Linked DNA regions of Tamandua tetradactyla. The protein of the gene in region 1 interacts with the protein of each later gene in a pairwise test. Links are inferred from orthologs where the notes say so. Each region holds a gene or a part of one and is shown in the gene's direction. Other genes may lie near its edges.

What was found.
Region 2: the proteins of KASH5 (region 1) and GOSR2 interact in binary tests that used the Homo sapiens proteins (3 or more experiments, as listed by UniProt). The two-hybrid records come from large-scale screens. The link is inferred for Tamandua tetradactyla from reciprocal best matches to the Homo sapiens genes KASH5 and GOSR2.
Region 3: the proteins of KASH5 (region 1) and UPK1B interact in binary tests that used the Homo sapiens proteins (3 or more experiments, as listed by UniProt). The two-hybrid records come from large-scale screens. The link is inferred for Tamandua tetradactyla from reciprocal best matches to the Homo sapiens genes KASH5 and UPK1B.
Region 4: the proteins of KASH5 (region 1) and NSG1 interact in binary tests that used the Homo sapiens proteins (3 or more experiments, as listed by UniProt). The two-hybrid records come from large-scale screens. The link is inferred for Tamandua tetradactyla from reciprocal best matches to the Homo sapiens genes KASH5 and NSG1.

Annotation. Positions count from the first base shown.
Region 1 is NC_135342.1:11,710,457-11,717,832, reverse strand, and holds the start of KASH5 (protein KASH5), read left to right. Parts: upstream 1-4,356; 5' UTR 4,357-4,485; intron 4,486-4,591; exon of another isoform or gene 4,592-4,786; intron 4,787-5,170; exon of another isoform or gene 5,171-5,214; intron 5,215-6,406; 5' UTR 6,407-6,482; coding exon 6,483-6,525; intron 6,526-6,990; exon of another isoform or gene 6,991-7,249; intron 7,250-7,376. UniProt on the Homo sapiens protein: As a component of the LINC (LInker of Nucleoskeleton and Cytoskeleton) complex, involved in the connection between the nuclear lamina and the cytoskeleton.
Region 2 is NC_135332.1:21,422,947-21,430,698, forward strand, and holds the start of GOSR2 (Golgi SNAP receptor complex member 2), read left to right. Parts: upstream 1-4,733; 5' UTR 4,734-4,815; coding exon 4,816-4,844; intron 4,845-7,752. UniProt on the Homo sapiens protein: Involved in transport of proteins from the cis/medial-Golgi to the trans-Golgi network.
Region 3 is NC_135336.1:26,917,325-26,924,383, reverse strand, and holds the start of UPK1B (uroplakin-1b), read left to right. Parts: upstream 1-4,056; 5' UTR 4,057-4,181; intron 4,182-7,059. UniProt on the Homo sapiens protein: Component of the asymmetric unit membrane (AUM); a highly specialized biomembrane elaborated by terminally differentiated urothelial cells.
Region 4 is NC_135345.1:8,695,803-8,703,328, reverse strand, and holds the start of NSG1 (neuronal vesicle trafficking-associated protein 1), read left to right. Parts: upstream 1-4,518; 5' UTR 4,519-4,711; intron 4,712-4,717; exon of another isoform or gene 4,718-5,089; intron 5,090-7,526.

The DNA of each region.
Region 1 (7,376 bases):
CACAGTTGTGAAAAGAGTGACCCCGTGCTGCATGATAGATCTCAGAAAGATAATAATGAGCAAAAGAAAACATGATCAACAGTGATTATCTTTGGGGAGTAATGATTAGAAAGAGGTGTTAGGGATACCTCTCTTTCTTAATATAGACAATGATTACACTAGTATATTTATTAAAATGTTATTGGCCTGTATATTAAGATTTGGCATTTAACTATATGTATGTTACAACTTTACCAAAAAAAAGGTTTTTTTAATTACCCAGACCTCAAAAAAGGAAAAAAAAAAACTGTAGAATAAACCAATCAATGAATGACAGAACACTGGTTAATAAAACTAAGAGATACACCACTGACCAGGCTGTCCTATGAAGACGCTTGGCATGCATTCTGACTGAACTCTCCTAAAGCCCCATGAGGTGGGTAACAATTGTCTCCATTTTGGAGAAGAGGAAGCTGAGCTTCAGGAAGTGAAGCCACTTTCCAAGGTCACAGAACAAAGGCACCAGGTTTTTTAAATCCATACCTCACCTCTTGAAGCACTTCACCACTCCACCTGCCAAACCAGTTCCTTCCCAGGCTTTATAACAGGCCACCACCTAATAGCCAAAATAATAACTACCAATTAACAGGGACCTTGTATAAGCCTGGAATTATCCCCTTGAATCCTCCAGGTAACCTAAGAGATCATTATTATCTCTATTTTTGGGATGAAAACTGAGGCTCTGAGAAGGGAAGTCATTTTCCCAATGTCACAGGAAGAGAAGAAGCCAGAGTATAAACCCAAGAGTATCTGACTCCAGGATCCATAGCCTTAGCCATTACTCTACACTCTTCAGTAGTTACCCTTGACTACTGAATTCATCCACCCATCCATCCATCCATCCATCCACTCATCCACCCAGTCATACATTCAGCAAATATGCTTTGACTGCCACACTGGGCCTGACATGTCCTAGTCCCAAAACAAAGTCTGCATAGAGCTCACATTCTAGAGAAAATTACCAATAATAACCTAAACATAGCTCAACTTCCCTGGCCATTAGAGAAATGCAAATCAAAACCACAATGAGATATCATCTCACACCCACCAGAATGGCCATTATCAACAAAACAGAAAATGACAAGTGCTGGAGAGGATGTGGAGAAAGAGGCACACTTATTCACTGCTGGTGGGAATGTCAAATGGTACAACCGCTGTGGATGGCAGTTCGGCGGTTCCTCAAAATGCTGAGTATAGAATTGCCATATGACCTGGGCAATACCCGGCAATACTCAAGGGACATAAGGGCAAAGACACAAACGGGCATTTGCACACCAATGTTTATAGCAGCATTATTTAAAATTGCAAAAAGATGGAAACAGCCAAAATGTCCATCAACAGACGAGTGGCTAAACAAACTGTGGTATATACATACGGTGGAATATTATGCAGTTTTAAGACAGAATAAAGTTATGAAATATGTAACAACATGGATGGACCTTGAGTACATTATGCTGAGTGAGACTAGCCAAAAACAAAAGGACAAATACTGTATGGTCTCACTGATGTGAACTGACATTAGTGAATAAACTTGGAATATTTCGTTGGTAACAGAGACCATCAGGAGATAGAAATAGGGTAAGATATTGGGTAACTGGAGCTGAAGGGATACAGACTGTGCAACAGTACTGAATACAAAAACTCAGAAATGGACAGCACTATACTACCTAAGTGTAATACAATTATGTTAAAACACTGAATGAAGCTGCATGTGAGAATGATAGAGGGAGGAGGGCTGGGGGCATAAATGAAATCAGAAAGAAAGATGTTAAAGATTGAGATGGTATAATCTAGGAATGCCTAGAGTGTATAATGATAGTGACTAAATGTACAGATTTTTAAAATGTTTTTGCATGAGGAAGAACAAAGGAATGTCATTATTGCAGGGTGCTGAAAATAGATGGTAATTAATATTTTAAAATGTCACCTTAGGTGTGAGACTAAAGCAAACAATGTTTACTTGGCACAAAATTTATATTTTGACTAGTGCATTTCCTAAGATAACTTATGTAGGTAGTTTGATTGAACACCATAAGTACTTGGAATCTCAGGTAGGACATGAGATTTTGTTGGTTTGCCCAGAGTGATGCCCTGATGAATCCCAGAGTGATTCGATCAGTGAGTGGAAAAGTATTTGCAAAGTCCCCTTCAGGGAATGGTGAGAACAGAGAGAAATTCAACTTTCCCAAGTTGAATTCTTGATATTCTCAGAAGCAATGTGGACAACCAAGCTATAGGCTGAGCCCCCAGTCTTGGGGGTTGTTCATATGAAACTTAACCCCACAAAGGATAGGTCAAGTCTACTTAAAATTTAGGCCCAAGAAAAGAACTAGCAAAACAACAGAAAAAGATATAGAATGTTAATATAGAGGAAAAAAATAAAAATAATAATAATAGTAAAAAGAAAAAAAAAGAAAAGGAAAAACAAACAAACAAACAGACAGACAGACAAAAAAAAAAGATTTAGGCCCAAGAGTTATCCCCAGGAGAACCTCTTTTGTTGCTCAGATGTGGCCTCTCTCTCCAGCCAACACAACAAGCAAACTCACCACCCTCCCCCTGCCTACGTGACATGGGACATGATTCCCAGGGGTGTGGACCTTCCTGGCAATGTGGGACAGAAATCCTAGAATGAGCTGAGACTCAGCATCAAGGGATTAAGGAAAACCCTAGAATGAGCTGAAATTCAGCATCAAGGGATTGAGAAAACCTTCTCGACCAAAAGGGGGAAGAGTGAAATGAAGACAAAGTGTCAATGGCTGAGAGATTCCAAATGGAGCCGAGAGGTTATCCTGGAGGTTATTCTTAAGCATTGAGTAGATATCACCTTCTTATTCAAGATGTAATGGAGAGGCTGGAGGGAACTGCCTGAAAATGTAGAGCTGTGTTCCAGTAGCCATGTTTCTTTTTTTTTTTTTCAATGTAATTTTATTGAGATAGCTCTGCACACCACACAATCCATCCAAAATAAACAGTGGTTCACAATACATCACATATTTCTGTATTCATCACAATGATCATTTTTAGAACATTTACATTACTCCAGAGAAAGAAATAAAAAGAAAAAAGAAAAATCCCATACATCCCATACCCCTTACCTCTCCCTCTTACTGACCACTGGCATTGCACTCTACTCACTTTTAAGACTTACAATAGAGATAGATTAACTAACGCAGTGCAGTTTTGACATGTGTATATATATATACAAAATCAGTGAAACAAAGCAAAACATCAAGAAGTAGGTCCATACAAACACAGCAACTGACCCTTATTTTTGCAATATAGTTAAACAATCATTACCAACGACCAGAGTAATGGATTACAGTTCAACAACTTCTGGCTAGTCTAAAATACTAGACCCTATGAAGAAATATCTATATAATAAGTCAGTATATTTTGTTTGCCTTTCATGAGAGAGATTCAAGCATGCTTAGAAGCCCAGTGTGAAGAATCCAGTTGGGAATGAACAGCTAACTATGAAAGAGAGAAGATGAGGAGTTGGAAGAGGGAGGGTCCTGAGCAGGCAGAAGGAGATGGAGTCTTAGCCATGTTTCTTGAGGATGGTTGTATAATGATACAGCTTTCACAGTGTGACTGCGTGATTGTGAAAACCTTGTGTCTGATGCTCCTTTTATCTACCACGTCAACAAACGAGTAGAACATATGGAATAAAAATAAATAATAGGGGGAACAAATGTTAAAATAAAAATAATAATAATAACCTAAACATAGACTGTCACCTGGTGAAACCATTGAAGACCACGTAAACAGAAAAGGTGGTTAGAGGGACAGGGGTTCTATGTAGACAGCCTAGCAGGGAAGGATTCTGAGCACGTCACAGCTGAATGAATGATGCCCAATGAACGAGAGGGTAGATAAGATTCTGTTTTTGTGTCTGGACTATCAGGGAGGCAGAGAAGAAGGGACACCTTTTGTCCCACACCCCCCTTCTTGAGTATCCATTGTTTGTAATTCTCCTCCTCTATGTAGAAAAACTAGGACTACTTTTCCCCTCCTCCCAAGCCGAACGAACCAAATGCTTTGAGGAGCACCCTTCGGGGTCCTCCTGACACAGCGTTCCCGGAGTCACAAAAGGAATCCGGCGTGAGAGCGAGAGCCGTGAGGAGGGAGAGGGCGGGACATTGTGACGGGAATGGGCCACCTGGCAAGGAACAGAGCGTAGGAAGGGCACGGTGTGGGCTGGACGAGCGGTCCCTCAGTCCTCCTCTGCCTTGCTCAGCGTCATTTAGCAGAAGCTTAAGGCACCAGCAGACAAGGCCTCGCAAAGCTCCCGCAACTGCCCCTCCTTCGCCGCAACTGCCCCTCCTTCGCCGCAACAGTTAAAACGCATCCACTGCCCCAGCTTCGCCAACGCGCACGCGCAGTTGCCACCAGCGTGGGCGCGAGCCCGGGCAGACCCACGCATGCGCGACACTGCCGTTACAGGTAACCAACAAGAATAGCTCGCGCCCTCTCAGCGATGTGCGCTTGCGTCAAGGAGGGAGCACGGCGGGGAGGGGTGGGGCTTAGTTGCTGCGCATGCTCTCGCACGCGCAGTCCCTCACCGCGCGCAACTGCCGTCGTTTGTTAGTGGCCTTCGTCGGTGTCTCGAGATTTGGTCGCAGCTCTGGGTGTGCCCTGCGTGAGCGAGACTCCCCACAGAATCCGTGTCAGAGCCGCTCCAGGAAACCTGACAAAGACCCCCAAACTGTAGGCGAGACGCCCCAAATCAGGGCTTCTAAATCCTGTAAGAGTCCTCTTTGAAAGCCTGGCAGAATCTTGTAGAAAGCCTGTCAGGCTTCTCTGTCAGACCTTCCCAACAAATCCTTTCAGGGAGTCCCCGAAATCCTGTCAGGGAGCGCCTGAGATCCTATCATACCCCCGAAATATGCTAGTCAGACATTCCTCCCCAAATCCAATCAGAGACACCCTCATGCCCGAGCTCCTCAGGGGTCTCGTACGTCAAAGCCCGGTCCTGCTCTCCTCATCTGAGCCGAGCCTCGGTGACGCTTCCTGAGTTAGTCCCTGAAACCTAGGCAGGACACAGGCCCCACGTTAAGCGTCGCTCTCTGCACCCCCGAGGGTTGTCCAAACCCCGGAAGCGTCTCCCTTCAGACGCCCCTTTTTCTAGGACCTTCTGAGTCCGCGCGCCCGCTGGGAGCTGGAGAGAGCAGGGTGAGGGGGGACATGGTGAGGAAGGAAGAGGGCGGGGTGGGGGGGGTACCGCTTTGTGGGGACACTGAGGACCCCACCGACTCGGGCGCAGACCCCCTACCCCCGCCGCGGTCAGCCCGGATGGCGCCTGCCCCCCAGTGAATTAGTGCAGCACCCAGTCGCTTTGGGAAATGTCCCGGGGTCAGCCCCTGCCGTCCTGTGGTGGAGCTGGCTGTGACCAGAATTGCACGGGGGATGGCCAAAGCTCAGAGGAGGGGCCCTGGGAAGGCTACCCAGGGCTAGGCAGGAGTGACGCTAGTGCCTGGGGGTGGTCCATGCCTGGGGGAACGTGGTTCTCCGGGAGAAGAGCAGGTTTGAGAGTACGTGCTGAGCTGCCCCGGGGCATGGTGAGGGCAGGGGACCTGGGAGTCTGCCGATGCGGAGAAAAATGTCAAAAAGAGGGAAGGCATTTTGGGGACCACCCTGCATGGGGCTGGGGCACTAGGGAGCCATGGAAGAACTGGGAGCAGGGGGAGCCCGAAGTCCAGTGACAGGGTGCCCTGGTGGCCCAAGGCAATGCGGGACCCAGAGACAGCTCCTGGCTCAGCCCCAGGGTGGGGAGCAGAGCATTTACCCAAGGGAACGTCTTAAGTGGAGACAGGAAGGGCTGCCAGGGGTCAGGGACTGTGACACTGTGTCTGAGAAGGAGATGGGTGGGGCCAGGCCACCCAGGACCTTAAGTGCCAGGCCCAGGGTCCAGGTTCTGTCCCCAGGATGCTGGGGAGCCACAGAAAGGCATTGAGCAGGGGAGGGCAGATTCACTCTGGGGCCTGGTGGAGGATGGACGAGGTAATACCAGGAGGCTAGAGGCTGGGATACAGTCCAGGGGGAGAGGACGAGGCCTGAGCTGAGCCCGGGGCCTTAGGGAAGGAGAGCGAGACTGGTAGTCAGTAGATAGGAGGGACGGGGCTTCAGGGAGGAGGGAAGACTGCCCAACTCGACCCTCCCCTCCCCCTCCCCCCCACTAGTCACCCTTGATCTCTGCCGCCCCCCCTCAGGCCCCCATTTTCCCAGCCCACACCTCCAGTCCATAAAACAGGCCCTGGCAAGCTGCCCCAGTCCTAGCGGGGGCGGGCAAACAGGTTAGAGCGCCAGGAGGGCCCCAACTGCGGATGACCGACTGAGCAGGCTGTCCTGCCCGTTGTCCTTCCAGGAATGATCAGGTCCCTCCTGGTGATGGAGAGAGGCTGTTAGTGTTGCCAGCTGCTGCCAAGCAGTGGGGGTGGCCCATGGAGCTGCCGGAGGGCCAGGCAGGAGGCCGCACTGCAGAAAGTAGGTGACTGGGCCCCTGTGTGCCCTGGGGGGGGGGGGTGAGCAACAGGAGCAAAGGGGTTCCAGGCTGGGACTTGGGGACCCGGAGAGGGGCAGGGGGCAGGAGCTGACACTTCCCCTTCCTCAGGGGAAGCCAGGAAGCCTCTGCTCACGTTGTTCCCCCTTCCCCACTTCCTGGCAGGCCCATGCTGTGCTTCCTTAGGGTCTCTGCCCAGATGCCATCTCTTTCCTGTATGTGAGACTGCTGTCCTGTTATACTCTGTCCCCTTTCCTTCTATCCTTTTCATCACGACACTGACGTGCTTACTCCCCCTTCATCTGTTTCCTTCAGTCTGGTGTTCTCACTCCCCAGGGTAGGGCTGCCCAAGAGAAGCATCACGCGAGCCACATATGTGACTGTAAATTTTAAAGTTTTTTAGCAACCAAATTAAAAAAAGAAAGAAAGAAGAACAATCAAGATGAATGGTAATAATAGATTTTATTTAATCTGGTATATCCAAAAACAGTATCCTTCCAGCATCCAGGCAAAAACGAAAATGTACTGATGAGCTGTGTCCTCTTTTCCTGGCTAAGTCTTTATGATCAGCGTATATTTTACACTATCAGCATCGTGTGTTGCACTTGTTGTCGTCCAGGTGCTGGGTTGCCCTCTCTGAGACTCACCTGCCAAGTGGAGGGGAGCGATGGGGCTGTCCCCAACAGTTGTCCTGACAATGAGGTGTGGCTGCGAAGCAGAGCTGGGATGAGCTTTCCACAGGCAGTACGGATTTCGACAGAAAATTATTCCTGAGAGCACAATATTCTGATTCCCTTTTCTCAAGTGGGAAAGCTGAGACTCAGGAGAGAAGGAA
Region 2 (7,752 bases), on another chromosome or scaffold:
AAGAACAAAACAAACAAAACAAAACAAAACAAAAACCTATAGCTCGGATGCAGCTTCGTTCAGTATTTTAACATGATTACTTTACAATTAGGTATTATTGTGCTGTCCATTTTTGAGTTTTTGTATCTAGTCCTATTGCACCATCTGTATTCCATCAGCTCCAATTACCCATTATCTTACCCTGTTTCTAACTCCTGCTGAACTCTGTTACCAATGACATATTCCAAGTTTATTCTCGAGTGTCGATTCACATCATTGGGACCATACAGTATTTGTCTTTTAGCTTTTGGCTAGACTCACTCAGCATAATGTTTTCTAGGTCCATCCATGTTATTACATGCTTCATAAGTTTATCCTGTCTTAACGCTGCATAATATTCCATCGTGTGTATATACCAAAGTTTGTTTAGCCACTCGTCTGTTGATGGACATTTTGGCTGTTTCCATCTCTTTGCAATTGTTTATAGCGCTGCTATAAACATTGGTGTGCAAATGTCTGTTTGAGTTTTTGCCCTTAATTCCTTTGAGTAGATTCCCAGCAATGGTATTGCTGGGTCGTATGGCAATTCTATATTCAGCTTTTTGAGGAACCGCCAAACTGCTTTCCACAGTGGTTGCACCATTTGACATTCCCACCAACAGTGGATAAGTGTGCCTCTTTCACCGCATCCTCTCCAGCACTTGTCATTTTCTGTTTTGTTGATAATGGCCATTCTGGTGGGTGTTAGATGATATCTCATTGTGGTTTTGATTTGCATTTCTCTAATGGCCAGGGACATTGAGCATCTCTTCATGTGTCTTTTGGCCATTTGTATTTCCTCCTCTGAGAGGTGTCTATTCAAGTCTTTTTCCCATTTTGTAATTGGGTTGGCTATCTTTTTGTTGTTGAGTTGAACAATCTCATTATAAATTCTGGATACTAGACCTTTATCTGATATGTCGTTTCCAAATATTGATTCCCATTGTGTAGGCTGTCTTTCTACTTTATTGATGAAGTTCTTTGATGCACAAAAGTGTTTAATTTTGAGGAGTTCCCATTTATTTATTTCCTTCTTCAGTGCTCTTGCTTTAGGTGTAAGGTCCATAAAACCGCCTCCAATTGTAAGATTCATAAGATATCTCCCTACATTTTCCTCTAACTGTTCTATGGTCTTAGACCTAATGTTTAGATCTTTGATCCATTTTGAGTTAACTTTTGTGTAGGGTGTGAGATATGGGTCTTCTTTCATTCTTTTGCATATGGATATCCAGTTCTCTAGGCACCATTTATTGAAGAGACTGTTCTGTCCCAGGTGAGTTGGCTTGACTCCCTTATCAAAGATCAAATGTCCATAGGTGAGAGGGTCTATATCTGAGCACTCTATTCAATTCCATTGGTCGATATATCTATCTTTATGCCAATACCATGCTGTTTTGACCACTGTGGCTTCATAATATGCCTTAAAGTCTGGCAGCGCAAGACCTCCAGCTTCGTTTTTTTTCCTCAAGATGTTTTTAGCAATTCGGGGCACCCTGCCCTTCCAGATAAATTTGCTTATTGGTTTTTCTATTTCTGAAAAATAAGTTGTTGGAATTTTGATTGGTATTGCATTGAATCTGTAAATCAATTTAGGTAGGATTGACATCTTAACTATATTTAGTCTTCCAATCCATGAACACGGTATGCCCTTCCATCTGTTTAGGTCTTCTGTGATTTCTTTTAGCAGTTTTTTGTAGTTTTCTTTGTATAGGTCTTTTGTCTCTTTAGTTAAATTTATTCCTAGGTATTTTATTCTTTTAGTTGCAATTGTAAATGGGATTCGTTTCTTGATTTCCCCCTCAGCTTGTTCATTGCTAGTGTATAGAAATGCTACAGATTTTTGAATGTTGATCTTGTAACCTGCTACTTTGCTGCACTCATTTATTAGCTCTAGTAGTTTTGTTGTGGATTTTTCCGGGTTTTCGACGTATAGTATCATATCGTCTGCAAACAGTGATAGTTTTACTTCTTCCTTTCCAATTTTGATGCCTTGTATTTCTTTTTCTTGTCTAATTGCTCTGGCTAGAACCTCCAACACAATGTTGAATAATAGTGGTGATAGTGGACATCCTTGTCTTGTTCCTGATCTTAGGGGGAACGTTTTCAATTTTTCCCCATTAAGGATAATATTAGCTGTGGGTTTTTCATATATTCCCTCTATCATTTTAAGGAAGTTCCCTTGTATTCCTATCCTTTGAAGTGTTTTCAACAGGAAAGGATGTTGAATCTTTTCAAATGCCTTCTCTGCATCAATTGAGATGATCATGTGATTTTTCTGCTTTAATTTGTTGATATGGTGTATTACATTAATTGATTTTCTTATGTTGAACCATCCTTGCATACCTGGGATGAATCCTACTTGGTCATGATGAATAATTCTTTTAATGTGTTGTTGGATACGATTTGCTAGAATTTTATTGAGGATTTTTGCATCTATATTCATTAGAGAGATCGGCCTGTAGTTTTCTTTTCTTGTAATATCTTTGCCTGGTTTTGGTATGAGGGTTCAGAAACGGAATTTTTAAATTCCGTTTTAAAAAGGGGAATTTAATAGGTCGCTAGTTTACAGTTCTAAGATGGAGAAAATGTCCCAATTAAAGCAAGTCTATAGAAATGTCCAATCAAAGGTATCCAGGGAAACATACGTTGGTTCAAGAAGGCCGATGAAGTTCACAATTCCTTTCTCAAGTGGAAGGGCACATGGCGAACATGGTGTCATCTGTTATCTTCTTCTCCTGGCTTCCTGTTTCATGAAGCTCCCCGGGAGGTATTTTCCTTCTTCATCTCCAAAGGTCGCTGGCTGGTGGACTCTCTGCTTCGTGGTGCTGCAGCATTCTCTGCTCTCTCTGAATCTTTCATTCTCCAAAATGTTTCCTCTTTATAGGACTCCAGTAAACCAATCAAGACCCACCCAAATGGGTAGAGACATGTCGTCACCTAATCCAGTCTAACAACCATTCTTGACTAAATTACATGATCCAGGGAGATGATCTGATTACAGTTTCAAACATACAGTATTGAATAGGGATTATTCTACCTTTATGAAATGGGATTTTAATTAAAACATGGCTTTTCTAGGGGGCATACATCCTTTCAAACCAGCCCAGCCATTAAAAAAAAGAAGAAGAAGAAATGGGATAGAAGTTAAAAGTGCAGCAAGATGGAGCGAAGAAGTTTTCTTCCATTTAGGGCGAGGGCTAACCCCGTAAAAAAAAAAAAGCAAAAAACCCTAAAAGACTGTGAGAGAGAGGGGAGACCTGGACTTCCATTTTTCCTTATCTGCTTTACCCACTTCACAGGGATGTTGTGAGACCTAAAGAACAAGATATAGGCACAAAAAATAATGGAAAAAATTGAAAATTTCTATCCAATTTTGGACAGCTTCCAACTACTGCATGAACAAAAACTAAGCATGGTGTTTAAAATTCTTTATCAGGCCCCTGTGTTCCACAGAAGACCCATGTTCTTTATCTCTGTCTTTGTTCCAGCTGTTCACTCAGCTTCAAATGCTTTCTCTTTCATCTCAGCACGGCCAATTCAATAAACACTTAGAGTTGTTAGTGTGTCTAAAACTATTCACTCTCCAGGGTCCTATTCAAATGCTATTTAGTCCATGAACCCTTCTTGCTCATCCCTCAGAGTGCCCCCCTCCCCTGGAGAAATAGTACTTTGTATCAATTGTAGCACTTATCACATTATCACCTGATAATATGATTGAGGGCATGATTTAGCCCTCCCAAAAGAGTATGAGATATGATGACACAGGCTGTGTCCTGGAATTCTTACCTCCAGTGTATGTGCCTTTTACATAGTAGATGCTCAATAAGTGTTAGAATAAATGGAAAAATTAATTTTAGGGAAAGAAATTGAATGACGGTAAGCAGTCTCTGGGACACAAAACTGGGTGGGATCCAGGATACAGGAAAATGGAAGCACCAACTTATCAAAGGAAGAGGAACATCTCCTCCCTAGAGAAGGACTGCAGATAAGCCTGGGAGAATGGACATGGGACAGATCCTTGTGTCCAAATCTTTCAAGTTCCAACCCTACTGCTACCTCTTTCATGAAGCCTTTCCTGAAATTCCCATTGGACGCGATTTCAGTTTGGCTCAACCTGTTTTCATCTCTGGATTTTCTACCTTCTAAAATGGTTATTTTTATAGTTATTTTATGTACTTTCCTAGACCGCGATCTCTTTGATGGCAGGAAGAAGACAGTTTCCTCCACTGCACACACGGCATGGTAAACACTCATTCGAAGTGGGTTTATTGAATGGATAAATGGGGCGAGTGAACTGGGCCAGTGAACAGACAAATCTAAGACAGGAGAAGCTTGCGCCACAGATTTCAGTGATGAATGAACTCTCCAGACCCACAATTAGCAAAATGTTTAACACAAAGCCAAGTAGAGACTCTCTTTTTCTCCTCCTGCAGTTAAAAGGTATCCCTCCCCTCACATCCAGCCTAGCCCTAAGGACCTCACGCCAGCACCCTGCGGCTATCTTTGACAATGACTGATTCAACCCTGAAGTCAACCTGCCGCCCAAACCTACATCACCTCATCCTCTATGAGAGTTCGAACTTATGGTCACATTTATCCTTTTTCTTCCGACCTCTTTTCTCATTCCCCTCCTCGGGCTTCTCTCTTACAGCCAATTAGGCGCGCGGGCGGGCACCCCTAGCAGGCAGGCGCGAGAGGGCCCTGCGACCGGAAGCCGGAAGCCGGAGGCCGGAAGTTGGGGGGTCTGTGAGGACGTGTTCTGGGAAAGCCGGAGCCCGGGCGGCCCGAGTCGGCGCCATGGAGCCGCTGTATCAGCAAACGCACAAGTGAGGACCGCAGCGGGGCACGGGCTGGGGCAAAACCAGGCGGGGCGAGACCAGCCGCCGGGGCTGGGGTATGGGGACGTCCGCTGGTGTGGACGCCGAATTCCTCCGTGCGGGGGCTCTGCCGGCGTCGGCTTAATCTCTGGCGAGATGCCCATGTCAGCGGCGGACAGAGGGTCGCGTCTGGGGCCTGCAAAAGTTAGGCCGGGTCGTTCGTGTCTACGAGCCCGTGACTACCTGCTCTTTTGCACACTGAATGGAGGGAAAATCGTACCTACAGATTATAATACTGTGTCCAGCACTTGCCAACTCGGTTATTTTTAAGGAAATTGAACTTTGGTTTAGCTTCTCATAACTTAAATTCCTTGGAAGTGGTGTTTATTCATATTGACCTGCGGTTTTGGATCTTGCTGAGATACGTAGTTGAGTATGGTGATAGGGGCCATATCTATCCTACTCTTTAAACTTTCCATTTTATCCCGTAGTTCTTTTCTGGTGAGCACACTTAAAATCACATTCCCGCAGCACGGAAATGAAATCATGTAGGCACCAGCGTCCCTAATGAATTTACAGCAAAAGAAGAGCTTTAGAGCTCTTCTTATTAGGAAATAAGAGGATGATGTCCCTCTTATGCTTTCATCTTTTTTTTTTTTTTTCCTTTTTACTTGAGCGATAAAGTGTTTGGTTTGGGGGAGTGAAAATACAGAACTTACTTTGTAATGGTATGAAAATAACCAAATTTGCTCTTACAGTGGGGAAACCAATTCTCATAGAAAAATTATAGAAAGGGTCTTGAAAAACTAGAGGTATGAGTCAACTGATGAAGAAACGAAACAGAAAATTACTCTCATGTTACTAAGGAAGGGCAGGTTTTTTACAATAACAAAGCACAGTGGGCTGAGTAGTGCCTTCTGTGATGTAGAATCTCATCTGATTAAATGATGTTGCTAAGAAGCTATTATTTACTCTTTTCAAGAATCATTTTGTTCAGAAAGTCTTAGACTGTACCGTTACCAGCTGCAGTAGGTAGCTGATCACAGGGAAATGTGGGTAGCTGGATTTTATGTAAACTTAGAGAGAGGAAGGAATACTAACTGGTGTCCCAAACAAACTTGGAGAATATAGATAGACTCCTTATCTCTGCAGACCTCCAACAACCACTCTTGGACTCTATGGCAGCATTCACCAGCTTTTTCTGTGAAGGGCCAGATAGTAAATATTTTGGGCTTTATGGGCCATACAGTTTCTGTTCCAGCTACTCACCTCTACTGTTTTTTTTTTTATTATTATTAATTAAAGAAAAAAAGAAATTAACACAACATTTAGAAATCATTCCATTCTATATATGCAATCAGTAATTCTTAACATCATCACATAGATGCATGATCATCATTTCTTAGTACATTTGCATCGATTTAGGAAAAGAACTAGCAAAACAACAGAAAAAGATATAGAATGTTAATATAGAGAAAAAAATAAAAATAATAATAAAAAAAGAAAAGGAAAAAATGAAAAAAAACAAAAGATACAAACAAACAAAAAAAACTATAGCTCAGATGCAGCTTCATTCAGTGTTTTAACATAATTACATTACAATTAGGTATTATTGTGCTGTCCATTTTTGAGTTTTTGTATCTAGTCCTGTTGCACAGTCTGTATCCCTTCAGTTCCAATTACCCATTATCTTACCCTGTTTCTAACTCCTGCTGGTCTCTGTTACCAATGACATATTCCAAGTTTATTCTCGAATGTCGGTTCACATCAATGGGACCATACAATATTTGTCCTTTAGTTTTTAGCTAGACTCACTCAGCATAATGTTCTCTAGGTCCATCCATGTTATTACATGCTTCATAAGTTTATTCTGTCTTAAAACTGCATAATATTCCATCGTATGTATATACCGCAGTTTGTTTAGCCACTCGTCTGTTGACTCACCTCTACTCTTGTAGAGCAAAGGCAGCCACAGGCAAAACATAAACGAATGGTTATGACTGTCATAACCATTTATGTCAATAAAACTTTATTCACAAAAATAGACGGTGGGCCAGTTTTGGCCCTCTAATCTTAAATCATTCATTCAAATAGTATCTCTTGAGCACCTGCTATGGAACAGGCACCATTCTCGGTGCTGACAATACAGCCCTGCCTGCAAGGAATTTACCTTCTTTCATCCAACAATACTTTCTCATCTGCCTTTCTCTACATATAACAGAGCCAGGAATGGGAAACTTGGCTTTGTTTTTCTTGCTGTATAAAATGTTCATTTGGGAATGCTAAGGCTCCTTTTAGAATACTGTGATTAAGAGTCTTTAAAAGGAGTGTTTTCCTTATATGAAAAATGTTAATTTGGGGCTGGTAAGGTTCCTTTTAGCTCTGATTCTGTGATTGGGAGCCTTTAAAAGGAAACACACAGAGTTCTATGAACACCAGCACTGAAGTTTTACAGTTACAGAAATTAATGACAGTAGTTGAATTGAATACATATCTGTAAATTTTGGTAAGCCTAAGTTGATGTTTTTTTTTAAACTGAACAAAGCACAGGGCCAAAGGCAGTCCTGTTGTCGGACAGTAGAAATCTTTCCAAGTCTTCCTTGCATGCTGTTGTTTGAGTCTGCCATGAATCCCTCAATCTGTAATATCATCAAGCCATTATTCAACATAAGATAGAATGAGAAACTACCAAATGCCTCTTAAACTCTTAAACTGACTGTGGCATCCTCAGTGTATTGCTCCTTTCCCACTGGAGACACACCTTGCCCATGAGCCATTGTGATCGTATATCCCATTTATTTGTTGAATTGAGTACATTAATGGTTGGATGAATATATGAATGAGTCAATAAATGAAGGGCGCTCCTCATTAACAATTTTTTTTTTTACATGGGCAGGCATCGGGAATCGAACCCTGG
Region 3 (7,059 bases), on another chromosome or scaffold:
TTACGTTCACCATAACCCATTACCAAAACTGTTTCATCACCCCAAACAGAAACTCTACCCATTAAGCAATAACTCCCCATTCTCTCCTTCTCTGCCAGTTATTTTGTAACCCACTTCCTGTCTCAATGAATTTTTTTTTCTAGATTTTTCATATAAGTGGGATCATGCCCTATTTGTTCTTTCGTGTCCAGCTTTCTTCACTCAGCATAATGTTTTCACGGTTCATCCATGTTGTAGCATATATCAGATGTCATTCCTTTTTATGACTGATTAATATTCCATTGTATGTAAATACCACATTTTCTTTATACCACATATTCATCTGCTGAATAATACCTGTTTTAAGTAACATATTTCCCTTTTTATATTTGTAATATAGATCCTTTGTAAACAAATGAACTACAAAAAAAGAAAAAGAAGTCACCCATATCCCACCATCCAGATATAACCCTGTTAACGTTTACTGTGCATTCTTCCTAACTTTTTAATTCATGTACATATGTATATCCCTTTAAAAAATAAAAATGCATCAATTTGTACAAACTTTTGTAACCTGATTTTTCACTCTTAGCACCTACTAGATGCCTGACATATCAAGTTCTCGATAAAGATTTGTTGAATAAATAAGTGAACCTATTTCTGTTTCATTAAATATTTTTCTATGGCATCATTTTAAACAGTTGCACAGATTTCTACTGAAGTATTATCATTTATTTAACTAGACCCTGAAGATCTGAAGAGGAAAAAAGCATTATGGTGGACACAAATATACCCCAATTAGACCCCTCTTCAAGACTCGTTGCTCAGTAGCTAGTACTGGTAGTCTCCAACCTCCGGCTGTCAGCCCCCTTTAAAGATTGCTTGAACTACCAAAAGACACCTTGCAAGGATGACCCTGATCCTGGGACTGTTTAAGGAAAAGCACAATAAAGAACAGTTACTATGGCCGTCTTGGGTCCAGAGCTCCAGGGAAAAGGCTAGCTAAGGATGTTTTGCCTGCATTACAGTTCAGATTCTATCTGTGCCCAATCCTCTTTCTTCCCTCTCCCTTCTAAGGGTTTTAATACAAAGGGCACTGCCTAATAAATATACTGCACACTAAACTCATATCTCACAATCTGCATCCTGAAGAAACTAACCTGTAACAGGAATAGTGCTAATCCTTGAGGAACTCCCCAGTCTATTGATTAAACCCTCAGTAAATTCTAACATTACTGCCCTTACTTCTTCCCTATACCATATTAAATCAACTGTGAAGCATAGATGTCATGATATTCTATTCAGCCATTAAAGTAATGTTGGTGCTGTATATGACATATGGTGGCTCCAGAGAAAGGAAAGGATAGAAAGAAAGGAAAAAAGCAAAGGAGGACAGAAAAACTCCAACAGGTGCTGGAGAGAATGTAGAGAAAGAGGCACACTTATCCACTGTTGGTGGGAATGTAAAATGGGACAACCACTGTGGAAGGCAGTTTGGCGGTTCCTCAGGAAGCTAAGTATAGAATTGCCATATGACCTGGCAATACCATTGCTAGGCATCTACTCAGAGGACATGAAGGCAAGGAAACAAATGGACATTTGCACACCAATGTTTACAGCAGCATTATTTACAATTGCCAAGAGTTGGAAACAGCCAAATGTCCATCAACAGACAAGTGGCTAAACAAGCTGTGGTATATACATACCATGGAATATTAGGCAGTTGTAAGACAGAATAAAGTTGTGAAGTAACAGCATGGATGGACCTTGAGGACATTATGCTGAGTGAGATTAGCCAGAAACAAAAGGACAAATACTGTATGGTCTCACTAATATGAACTGACATTAGTGAATGAACTTGTAGAATTTCAGCTAAGAACAGAAACTATCAGGAGATAGAAATAGAGTAGATATTGGGTATTTGGAGCTGAAGGGATACAGATTGTGCAACAGGACTGATTGTAAAAATTCAGAAATGGATAGCACAATACTACCTAACTGTAATACAATAATGTTAGTACACTGAATGTGAGAATGATAGAGGGAGAAGGGCTAGGGGCACAAATGAAATCAGAAGGAAAGATAGACGATAAAAACTGAGATGGTATAATCTAGGAATGCATAGAATGTGCAATGAGAAGTGACTAAATGTACAAATTAAAAAATGCTTTTGCATGAGAAAGAAAAATGAATGTCAATACTGCAGGGTGCTGAAAATACATACTAATCATATTTTAAAACTTTAACTTATGAGTGAGACTAAAGCAAAAAATGTTTATTTGGTACAAAATTTATATTTTGACTAGTGCATTTCCCAATATAACTTATGTGGGCAGCTTAATTGAACACCGTAAGTACATGGAACCTTGAGTAGGGCATGAGATTTTCTAAGTTTATCCAGAGTGATGCCCCGATAAATCCTAGAGTGATTTGAACAGTGAATTAAAAAGTATTTACAAAGTCCCCTTGGGGGAATGGCAAGAAAGAGGGAAAATTCAACTTCCCCATGTGGAGAATTCCTGATATTCTCACAAGCAGTGAGGACAACAAAATCAATAGGCCGAGCCTCAATCTTGGAGTTTGTTCATAGGAAACTTATCCCCGCAAAGGATAGTCTAAGCCTACTTAAAATTAGGCCTAAGAGCCACCCCAGAGAATACCTTTTATTACTCTCTCTCAGCCAGCACAACAAGCAAACTCACTGCCCTCCCCTTCTCTGTATGGGACATGACTCCCAGGGGTGTAAACCTTCCTGGCAGCGTAGGACAGAAATCCTAGAATGAGCTGGGACTCAGGGTCAAGGAAATGAGAAAACCTTCTAGACCAAAAGGGGGAAGAGAGAAATGAGACAATGGCTGAGAGATTTCAAATAGTGTCGAGAGGTTATCCTGGAGGTCATTCTTAAGCATTATATATAGATATCGTCTTTTTAGTTAAGGTATATTGGAGAGGTTGGAGGGAAGTGCCTGAAACTGTAGAGCTCTGTTCCAGTAGCCATGTTTCTTGAAGATGATTGTATAATGATATAGCTTTCACAATGTGACTGTGTGTGTGATTGTGAAAACTTGTTCTGATGCTCCTTTTATCTACAGTATGGACAGATGAATAAAACATATGGATTAAAAATAAATAATAGGGGCAACAAATGTTTAAATAAATTTAGTAGATTGAAATGCTAGTGATTGATGAAAAGGAATGATAAGGGGTATAGAAAAAAATAGAGGAAACAAAGGCTAAAATATATTGAGTAGATGGAAATACTAGGAATCAATGAGAGGGAAGGGTAAGGGGATGGTATGTATGAGTTTTTTTCTTTTTTCTTTTTATTTCTTTTTCTGAATTGATGCAAATGTTCTTAAAAATGATCATGGTGATGAATATACAACTATGTGATGATATTGTGAGTTATTGATTATATACCAAGAATGGAATGATCATATGGTAAGAATGTTTGTGTTTGTATGTTATGTTTAAAAAAAATTTTAAATTAAAAAAGAAAAAAAGCAAAGGAGGAAGGAAGGGAAGGGGAGAGATTGGAAGAGACAAATTCAATATGAGATAATTATCCGAGCCCTCTCTCTATGTTCAAATTCCTTCCAGTCTGTTTGTATCCAGGTTTCTTGACCCTCCCCTTATTAGTGTTTGAACCATCTACAGTGGCACAACTTGGGCAATTACTATTCCCATGAATATAACCCGATATATTACAGAAACTGAAGCTGGATGTGACCCTGTACAGGTAAACATGTACCCACATCACTATGAGCAGCCAAGGCAATAGACAGACCTTGCAATACATGAAAGCAGAAGTAAGGATCAAGTAACACTTATAAAAGCAAATCAAATCAAAAGAAAAAAGAAAAATAATAAAAATGAAAATCTGAGTTCGTGTTCAAGTAAAGTCCACACTTAGGAGGCATCCAGATAAGTACCGAGCTGAGCCTCGTCCCAGTGCTCCTATCTGTCAGCATCACCACATACCAAAGAAGCAGAAATCCACTGACTGGAAGAGTCCTGCCAGTTCTGACATGAGTGAGGCAGGCTCAGGCAGCACCAGGTTCAACCCATGTGAGATCCTCCCAATCACAGCCCATCTTTCCTACTCCCAGAAGTTTGAAGAATTGCTGCAGGGTAGAAAAGCACCTCAGGCCAGTGCAGATTTCAGAGTGACCAGCACAGCAAGGAGACCAGGAGAGGGCTCTGTGAGTAGACTGATTTCACTCTGCAGAGAAACCCACTGCACTCTGAATGGTTGGGTTGCTTCCCTGGGAGGGAAGGCGGTGGTCAGAAAGGGAAAGGGGAAGAAGTTACACCCCTGATGAACAGAGCGTTCTATTTTTTTGTAATCTAGGATGTTGTGATTGTTACGTTCTCTTTTACTTTGAACTATTTAAACTGCTTTCCTGAAATCTTTGATATCGTCCTATTCTCAGCACTGGGGTTAAGGTTTTTCTGAGGATGTTGTTCTGATTGCAATTGATGTCTGTCCTGATTTCAACTTCAAATTTCCTCACAGAAAGGCCAAGAAAAATCCTAGAACCCTGGGAAACCCTGTATCTCCCAATTAAATCTCATATAAACCTATGTAGACCTCCAATTTCCTTTTGGAGTCAGAAACGGAAAAGAAAACTTAAGGAAACAGGTCACGTTCTTTCTTAATACACTGTTTCTTAGCTTAGCAGAAAGAACGTTTCCTGGTTTTGTCAGAAATCATTTGTTCCTGCCAACTAGTAATGAGATTTGTGAGACAATTTATTCATGATTTTTCTCTGCAAACAGTTTGGCTTAATAATTGTGTCTGTTCACATCAGTCAATAAATTAGATTCACTTCTTTATTCGTTGTCTAAATCACTCTGGGATTTGTTGTGGCATCATACCTACCTGGGCAAACCAACACAATCTCACGCCCTATTAAAGAGTCCATGTACTTATGGTGTTCAGCTAAACTGACCATACAAATTAAATTAGGAAATTCACTACCCAAAATATAAATCTTGCACCAAATAAACATCTCTCCCTTTAGTCTCACACAGAAGTTGAAGTTTTAAGATATGGGCGATACCATTCCTTACCCAGTCTTCTGATATACCTTAGTCCTACCCAGATCAGCCTCATTCATATCTCTGCTCGATGTCTGATCACTTTTTCAACAATCGGTGTGGAGTTTCTTTTGGGAGTGAGGAAAATGTTCTGTAATTAGATAATGGTGAGAGTTGCACAACAAAATCCGCTGAACTGTGCGTTTTAAAATGGTGAAAATGGTGAATGTTATGTGAAATTTATCTCAATAAAATAGTGTTCAGATAAAAAAATAAATTAGCTTTATCAACACAATGCTACTTTTATATAATTTATTTTTATTCTTCACCAATTTGTTGATCTGTGAGGGTCAGCAAGTTAAAAATCTATTTTTGCCCTCATATATTGTTATATATACCTAAAACCCCACTTCTAACTAGTTTTAAATATTTTTAAGCATCTTGAATTTTAGGTCTTTTATAAATGTCCTTGTGAAATTAAAGATAATTTTTATTGTCCATTTTTTGCCTGAGTTGAATGGCTAAGCAAAACAAGAAAAAATTCACTTAGTATATATATATATATATCTTAGATTATATAAGCCTTGTGAAGAGATGTTTTCCTTTTGATAAACCTTTTCAACGAGGAAAAAAAATTCTTGTTTTCTGCTACAACAGACTATTTTTTTTTTTGCTTTCTGCTATCACAGGTTAAAAATCAGCTCACCTACTTATTTTTAAAAAGTACCTGGGAAGAATCATAGACTCTTAAATTCAAAGGGAACCATAGATAGCATCTAGTCAAGAAAAATAAGTAATATCTTAGAATTTCTTTTTTAACCTCTCCTGAGTGCATTCTTAACCAAAGCAAACAGCAATCAGCCCCAGAATGCACCGTATCCTGCTGCTGGATTCCAGACCCGATGGCTCCACAGGCTGCCCTCAGTCCTGATGGGCCTCCATTCCCTAGCTGGGGCAGAGACCACATTCATGAGGGGGTACTGTAATCTCACCTCCTCCAAGTATTCTCCATACCGTTCCTGCCCTGAGGCTGGCAAGGCTCACTCCTGAGGTCCGCACTCAGCTGAAGTGCCTGAGCCATTGCTTATATGGTAGTCCTTGATTTCAGGTGGACTCTGGGATCATCCCAGGAGTCTAGAGTATCACTGCACCATAGAACGTCCATAAAGATGGAAATGTTCTATAAGGAGCCACTAGCACGTGTGGCTGTCGAACACTCGAAGTGTGGCTATGGCAACAAAAGAACTGAATTTTTCATTTAATTTAATTTGAACTGATTTAAATCTAGCTACTCACATGCAGCTAGTAGCTACTGTATTGCTCAGTGTAGATCTAGACCTTCAAAGCAGGAAAAACTGATGGTACTGTGAGCTGTGGATGTCATGGCCAAGGGAACAAGCTCTTTTTTTCATCATTCCCAGGGACTCATCCTACCTTAAATTTAAGCAGACCAGCAACAGAACTGATCTAAAATTTCCACACCCACCTGTGCTCTCAACCCTTAGCCATACAACCATGTGCTTTTGTCCTGGGTTTCAGGGCCAAGGCTAAGGCAAAAGCATATTGTGTTTCTTGGTTTCTTCCTTTCCTGTTCCCCTTTCTTCTTTTTTCTTTTTTTTCCCCCTTTTGTTAATCTAAATTTCTCTAGCATGAGCTAGTTTGAGGTGTGGTCTCTGTGGTCTTTGGTACAACGAACTTGAATGAGTGAAAAGGTAATGAATTTGAAAAACTGATCTCATGCTTGGTGGATGAATCTCACTTCTTTTTCTTCTGCTTTGAAAATTGGTTTTATTTACAAGAAATTGTTTTTAGACCTATTCAGTGTCTGGAAACACCAGCACTATGGATCTGAATAATTTTTATAAGAAAAGAAACCAAATGAAGGCATAAGAGAAAAAGAAACAACCAGAATTAAAGCTCCAGCCTTTCTAAAATCTACACTTTTCAAAACAAAGAAACTCCCAAGGTGTTGAGCAATTTGAGTAAATCATCATGGTGCCAGGTCCCTGGGTAGTTTTTTCATAGGGTGAGGCTCACAGG
Region 4 (7,526 bases), on another chromosome or scaffold:
ATTCTGAGCCCAAAACAAATTCTTAGTTAATGATAGGAATCATAGAGTCATAAAGATTGTTAAGCATTTGCCCAAAGACAAATTCTAGGTATGTGACAGCAAGCCACAAATTCTGCTAGCTATCTCCTCCTAAAACAAAGAAGACACGTAGTGCTCAAAGGTTACTATGGAAATCTGCTACCAACAAAACTTTCCTATAAAACAAGCTGGCCCATTCCATTCACCGCTTGTCCCTCTCTTGGGCACATCCGAGTTAAACTCCCTTAACTCTCTCTTTTTAAATAACTTTTTAAAATAAACTGTAGTACTTATTCCTATTGGCCCTCTTGTTTCTAAATTCTTTTAGTTTCGAGATTAAGAACTTGGACTGGGGTTCAGCTGGCATCACTGCCTGTCTTCCAAGCCTCATCCTTCCCTCCAGCCACAAGCTGTACTCATTCACTCTTCCGTGCCTTTGCTCCAGCTCTCCCCTGTGCCTGAAATTCACTTCTCTTTCATTTCCTCCTAGCAAACTTCTACACATCCCTCAAGACCCAACTCAGTTGAAGCTTTCTCTGTTCATCCCAAAGCAAGTTGGAGTTTCTCTCCTCTACTCCTGCCATCCTACCCTCATCCCAGGTCTCCCCCTAGGAGAGCATAATGATTCATTTGCATCCTGTCTCTACCTGAGAATCTCCAAAGGAGCCCAGACAGAGCTGGCCTACAATAAAGACCCATTTAACATCTTCTGAGTCAGCAAGTAGTGATTGCATGTCATGGCTGACCAATGAGCATGACTAACTTTTTATCCTTAACTGTCAGAAGTAAGAATTATAATCCCATTTAATAGATGGGGTAACTGAGGCTTAGAAGGTTTAAGGAAGTTGGTGGGGGGTGGAGAGAGAGAGGGAAAGGGAGAAAGAGAGTGGGAGAGAGAGAGAGGGAGAGAGGGAGAAGGAGAGAGGGAGAGGCAGAGCTGGTGCTGTCTGAATTCAAATAGCTCCTGTTCTTTCAGTGTGTTTGACTCGATTTGATTCATCTCTATTAGTTTCATTTCAATTCAATGAGGTTCATTTTAACTCAATTCAGTTCAGTAAATGTTTACTGCACACCTGCTGGAAGTGGGCCCCTCCCCCAAGGGATGGCCATTCTGAAAGGAGAGGCGGATGGTAAAGAGTTTCTCCAAGGGAGGGGGCCCCACAGTGCAGGTGACCCTCCCTCTGGGCCAGTCTTTGGAACCAGAACCGCTTTCCTGAAGACCTGACACTTGAGCGCAGGTGGGTGGGGAAGCAAGAGGCCGGCCTGTCCACCATGCAAAGTCCTGGAGGGATCCGGGAGGGTCAGCACTGGGAGTCCTGGCTGCCTGGAGTGGAGGCTGCTGGAACAGAGGCAGCAGGTGACCAGGCCAGGTCGCAGAGGCCCCCAGGTCTGCCAGAAGCCAGGCCCTGGGAGGTGGCCAGCCCTCCCAGGGTTTCATAGGTTCCTAGTCAACCCCTCCCCACCCACAAGTACCCCTCGCCGATGGAGGGGGGCAGCTTTCCTTTCCCTTGATGTAACAGAAGGTCCTCAGCTGTTTGATGCCTCCACCCACCCACCCCCACTCCAACCCTGGAGGCTTTGCCAAATAGGGTGGACAGGGTCAGATATCTCCAGGCTGGGATGCAGCGAGGTTGACCATTGGCCCTTTGCCAGCTCTGCAATTTGATGAGTTGCTGGGAAATCTCCATCTTCTAAGCATTGCAAACCACCTGACAAACATTTAGGGTGAAAATCTTTTTATATACAAACAAATATTTTCATTGCTAAGTTATTTATAATAAGAAGAAATTAACAACCTAGGTGGGTAGTCAAAAAAATTCTGACACATCCATAATTATGTAAGCATCAGTTTAAAAATATTTATTGACAGGGTGTGCCAGTTTGATTCTGTCATGTACCCTGTGAAAAGCCATGCTTTAATTCTGACCCAATCCTGGGGGAAGAGCTCTTTCTTTTCACCCTGATTCAATATTGTGGGGTGGAAACTTTGATCTTCATGGAGATGTGACACACCCAATTGTGGATGTGACCTTTGATTAAATGGAGATGTGACTCCACCCATTCTAGGTGGGTCTTGATTGGTTTACTGGAATCCTTTAAAAGAAGAAACATTTTGGAGTTGCTTCAGAAGTGACATAGATGGAGATGCTTGTAGACAGAGTGAGAAATAGCCCAGGTGCTCAGCAAGGAATCACAGAAATAGCCAGAACCTGAAGAGAAGAAATCTCTGGCCCTGGCCAATGCTAAGCCAAGAGATGAAACCCAGAGCTTTGTCCCGGAATAGCTAAGTGAAGGGCCACAGATGCTCAGAGAGGTAATCACCGGCCTCGGAAGCTGGAAGCAGCAGAACCAGGAACAAGGCCCCGCAGATGTCAGCCACGTGCCTTTCCAGAGCTTCCTCTGGATGCCTTAGGTAGGGCGTATTTATGGCCTTAGAACTGTAAACTTGTGTTGTGACTTATCAAATTCCCTTTATAAAAGCCATTCCATTTCTGGTATATCACATTCCAGCAGCTTAACAAACTAAGACACAGGGGAACTGGTCCCAGTAATATATTGTCAAATGAAAAATGTAAGATACAAGACTGTATAAATCATGTCATTTATTTAAAAAATGAAAGTGATGTTTCTTGCATTTAACTTAACTTCAAATCTATTTGGGCAAAGACAGATTGGAAACGGACATTTAACCAACATGTGCGATCCTGTCAGCCAGCACACTCAACGAGCCTGTCAAGAGAGCCCCGAGCCTGCCCCTTCCTGGGCAATCCCAGCTTGCGGGTGCCTCCTTCTTCGTGAGCAGGATGCGAGAGGTTAAAGCGGTGCAAGTCCAGAAAATACATCTCCTAAACACAAGTCAAGTATGACTTCTGGGGCTTAATCAAAGAAAAAATAATCTCTTCCAGAAAACACTAGTTATGTTGTACTTCTTGAAAGAAAGCCTTGTATGATGTTTTATTGGTGATTTAACAGTTTATTATAAATTCTTTGGACAATTCTCAATTTTAGCCTTAGGTCACGGAACCTAATCCTTGCATAAACAAAATTCCAGTTTTATATGCATGTGAAAGGCTAGAATGGAACACAGGAAAATGTTTATAGTCTACAAAACTTTGTGTAATGGTGTTCTTTTTGCCAAAGCTGCCAGAAAGCAATATACCAGAAATGGAACGGCTTTTATAAAAGGGATTTATTAAGTTACAAGCTTACAGTTCTAAGGCCCTAAAAGAGAAAGATACCTTAACTCCAAAGAAAGGCCGATTGATGTCGGTCACAAGGGAAGGCTCATGACTGGCATCTGCTGGTCCTTGTTCCCTGTGCATTGTCTTTACCTTCTGAATCCAGTGGCTTTCTCTTTAGGTGTCTGTGGGTCCTGACTTAGCTGCTCTGGGGGAAAACTCTGGGTTTCATCTCTCAGCTTAGTGTCTCATGGAAAGGCACATAGCGACGTCTGCTGGGCTCTGGCTCCTGTCTAGCTTCTGTTGGTTCTCTCAGCTCCTGGCATCTCCTGCGCCTTCTGTTATTTCCAGAAGTCTGAAAGTTTTCTCCTAAATGTTTCCCTGTGTGGGCTCTTTTCAGGACTCCAATAAACTAATCAAGACCCACCTTGAATGGGTGGTCACATCTCTATCTAATCAAAAGGTTCCACCCACAATTGGGTGTGTCCAATCTAAACAATAGGTTTGGCCCCACAAAATCCAGATTAGAAAAAGAAGGTGGCTTTTCTGGGTTACAAAACAGTTTCAAACTAGCCAGATGGGATTAGAAGGGTAATGGTCTTTTTAAACCAAAAGACTCCTGAAATAAATAGACATGCTGGGAATCACCTGACAGGTGCCTGCGGGGACTGGGAAGCTCTATTCTTGTCAAAAGGCCCATCAAAGCATGCAGCTGCCTTATAGGGCAGGTGAAGTCTCCCTCAGCCTGCAGGGTGGACTGGAAGCCCTCTGGGCGCTGACCTCTACCCTCCTCCCTGTCTCAGAGTCCCTGCGCCCCTGAACAACCCTGGGCTCCACACCCCCACTCCTGGGGTGCTACCTTCCTCACTCCCTCACAGGCTTCCTCCTCCCCTACTCTCTAGGACCCACTGCGACCCAGGCACCCTTCTCCACAGCTCCCCCTGGCCCACCCACGCAATGCTCACATCTTCTGTGAAAACACCGTTAAGCATATTCCTCTGTCTGTCCGCTCCCCCAGACCAAACAAGCTGCAGAAAACAGGGCTCTGCCTCAGGCACTGACCTCAGTGTGGCAGACTGAATGATGATGCACCCCGATTTAGACGTGATCTTAATCTGCATTCCGTGGGCGCGAGCCCATTGCAAACAGGACCTCTTGAAGCGGGGATTTTAGCCAGGGGCGGTCCAATGGAAAAAGGGTGGGTCTTAATCCGGATTACAAGCAGAAGAAATTGAGACATCAAAAGGGCACCACGGGGAGAAGCCGGAAGCCGGAAGCCGGAAGTGGATGGAACCGGAAGAGGAAGGAGAGGACGCGGCTCTGTTCTGGAAGCCGATGTGGGGGCCGAGGAGCCCTGAGGAGCGCGTGGGGCCGAGGAGCGGAGAGGAGGAGTCGTTGCCACCTCGGCATCTCAATTTGGGACTTCTCTGAGTCTCAAAACTGTGAGCCCACAAATCTCTGTTTAAGCCAATCCATTGGCATTCCTCAGAGCAGCCGGGAAACTAAGACTCTCAGTAAGTGCGGATGGTTGGGGTGAATAAATAATGGGCTTCGGAGCCACCCAAGACTTGAGTTTAGATCCCAGGTCAGCATGGACTAGATAAGGGGCTTAGTCTCAGTGAGCCTCAGTTTCCCCGTCTGAAAAATGCGACAATGACCCTTGCCACTTAGGGTTGGTGGGTGGTCTGGATGAGCACGCCAACTGCCTAGAGCAGAGCTGACCAGGTGTCAGTCCCCATTGCATACAAGAGGCTTCCGAATGGTATGTTAGGCCCTGTTCTGCCTGCAAGAGGGCCACAAAACACAGACGCAGTTCAGCCTCGATTCAGCTACTGGCCTGGAATTCCAGCTCTGCTAATAACCTCCACGTGCCTCTATTTCTTCTCAGTAAAGTGGGTTTGAGAATGATCCCCCTCTTGGGGGTGGGGGGGGGGTGAGAAGATGAGAAGAGCTAATGTTTGTAAAGCACATAGAACAGTGTCTAGCTCGAAGGAAATGCTAAATGTTGTTAAAATGAATAAAAGTCTAGCAAGAAGACATTCACAGATGGTCTGCCTGCTGAAGTGGCCCTCGGTTCTTTTCTCTGACTTTGGTCCACCTTGGTTTAGAATCCACCCCCACTCCCCCACTCCGGCCATCTCATGCTGCGGGTGGGGGTGGGGGTGGGGGTTTGCTTCTCAGCTTTATAGGTGGGTTGAGACCTTTGCATCCGGCTGGAATCCAAGTACCACTTTTACTGTCTCAGGCCCCCTTGTTGTCTGTGAAGCCACCATGTACAAGGGATGCGGCAGAGGCAAGGGGGACAGATCTTCTGGGAACTTGCAGCAGGTACAAGACTCCAGCCTCTGCACAGCAGACACTGTGCCAAATTCACACCAGTCATTCCCCAGGAGTTTGGATGTTGGGCAGCCTCAATGTTGAACATCCAATATGGTCTGCTTGCCCAGCTCCATGCAGCCGAAACAGTCTGAGCCTTCAAAGCTCTGTAGAACCCACACTTTCTCTGCGCAAAAGTCTTTCCACATCATTGCCACTCCCCTTTCATCCCCCTGGTCACCGTGAGAAAACAAAGGGACATGGGCCCCAAACCCACACTCACTGCTTAGCGTAAAGAAAAGGGTCAAAGGGACATGGGCCCCAAACCCACTTTCACCACTTCCTGCTGTGTGACCTCACCACATTATTCACCCTCTCTGAATACCTTCCTTCTTTCATGAAATGGGAATAAGAATACTTCCAACAGAGGAATATGGAAGGAATTCAGTGCAATCAAGAAGGACATAGAGTTAGTCCCTTCTCTGGCATTGGTTCCTGTTTGAGTTTCTAGGCTCCTTTGACAAATACCACACAACAGGTTGCCAGGAACAATATGAATTCATTGACTCATGGTTTCAGAGGCCAGAAGTCCAAGCGCAAGGTGTCAGCAAGGCCACACTTTCTCCCCAAAGTCTGTAGCATTCTAGTACGGGTTTGCAGCATCCCAATACGGGTTTGCAGCATCCTTGGGGCTTTCTTGGGGCTTGCATCTCTGCCTCCTGCCACATGGTGACCACTCTTTCTTCTGTGTCTGTTCTTCTGGCTTCCACTGATGTTCAGCTTCTCCCTGAGCGGGCTTCTCAGATTCTTGGCTTCCAGTTTCTTCTCTCTATAAGGTTTCCAGGAATGTTCATTAAGACCCACCCTGATTCAGGTGGACCTGAAGAGGACCTTTGAAGATCCTAGTCGCAAATGTGTTCACACACCGAATCAACACAGTCGAAGATACTATTTAGAAATGTGTTCACACCCATGGAAACATGGATTAAGATAAAATGTCTTTCATCAGCGTTCATAATTCAACCTGGCACAGTTTGCCTTTCTCAGTTCTCTTATTCACTACCTCCATACTGGCTGTCACCTCCACCACTTAGTAGTATTGCTAACTCGCATGAGCTGGGCAACTCCACTTACAAGCAAGTTCCCTAAATTAGGATTCGGCCTGCATCACCACTGAGTCCCTGCAGCACCTGGCTCATGGGGGCTGCCCATTGAATACCTGCTGATTACACAGTTGCCACCCATAAACGTGCCCACTTGTCAACACAAACTCCTTCCTATGCATGGTTTCCAAATTCTTTGACAAGGAGCAGCGAATGTTTATCTTTAGACTTGTTTTATGACATTTCCCAAGCGTCTAGTAGACACCAAGTCCTGCGGCAGGAACTGTGGGAAACACTGGGATGAGAGAGGAAGAAACTGCAGGGTTCTTGTGGATCTAGTCCTGACCACAATCCCACAGTGGTGGCTTGGCAGGTGTTAAATAAACACGATACAATTCCGATGGGGATGGGATGTCAAAACAAGTTCCAACCAAGCAATCAAATATTAGTTACTGATGAGAGTGTGGGCCCAGGGACAAAAACAGCCTGGGGTTCGAATCCCAGTGGCACCATTTATGTGCTGTCATGGATTGAATGGTGACCTCAGAAAGTTATACCCATGTCCTAATGCCTGGAGCCTGTGAGTGCTCCCTTACTGGGAGAAAGGGTCTTTATGATGTGATTGAGTTAAGGATTTTGAGGTGAGATCATCCTGGATTACCCAGCTGGGCCCTAAATCTCTTCTAAGTGGCTTTATGAGAGAAAGGTAGGGGGAGATTTGATAGAAACAGACCAGAAGACAGCAGGAGGTTATATGAGGATGGAGTACTGTGGCCATAAGCGAAGGAATGCTAAGATTTGTCAGGAAGACACTGAAAGCTGAAAAGAGGCAATGAAGGGTTCTCCCCTAGAGCTTCCTAGGGGTGCACAGCCCTGCCAACACCTTTGTATCAGCCTATTTTTCATCTTA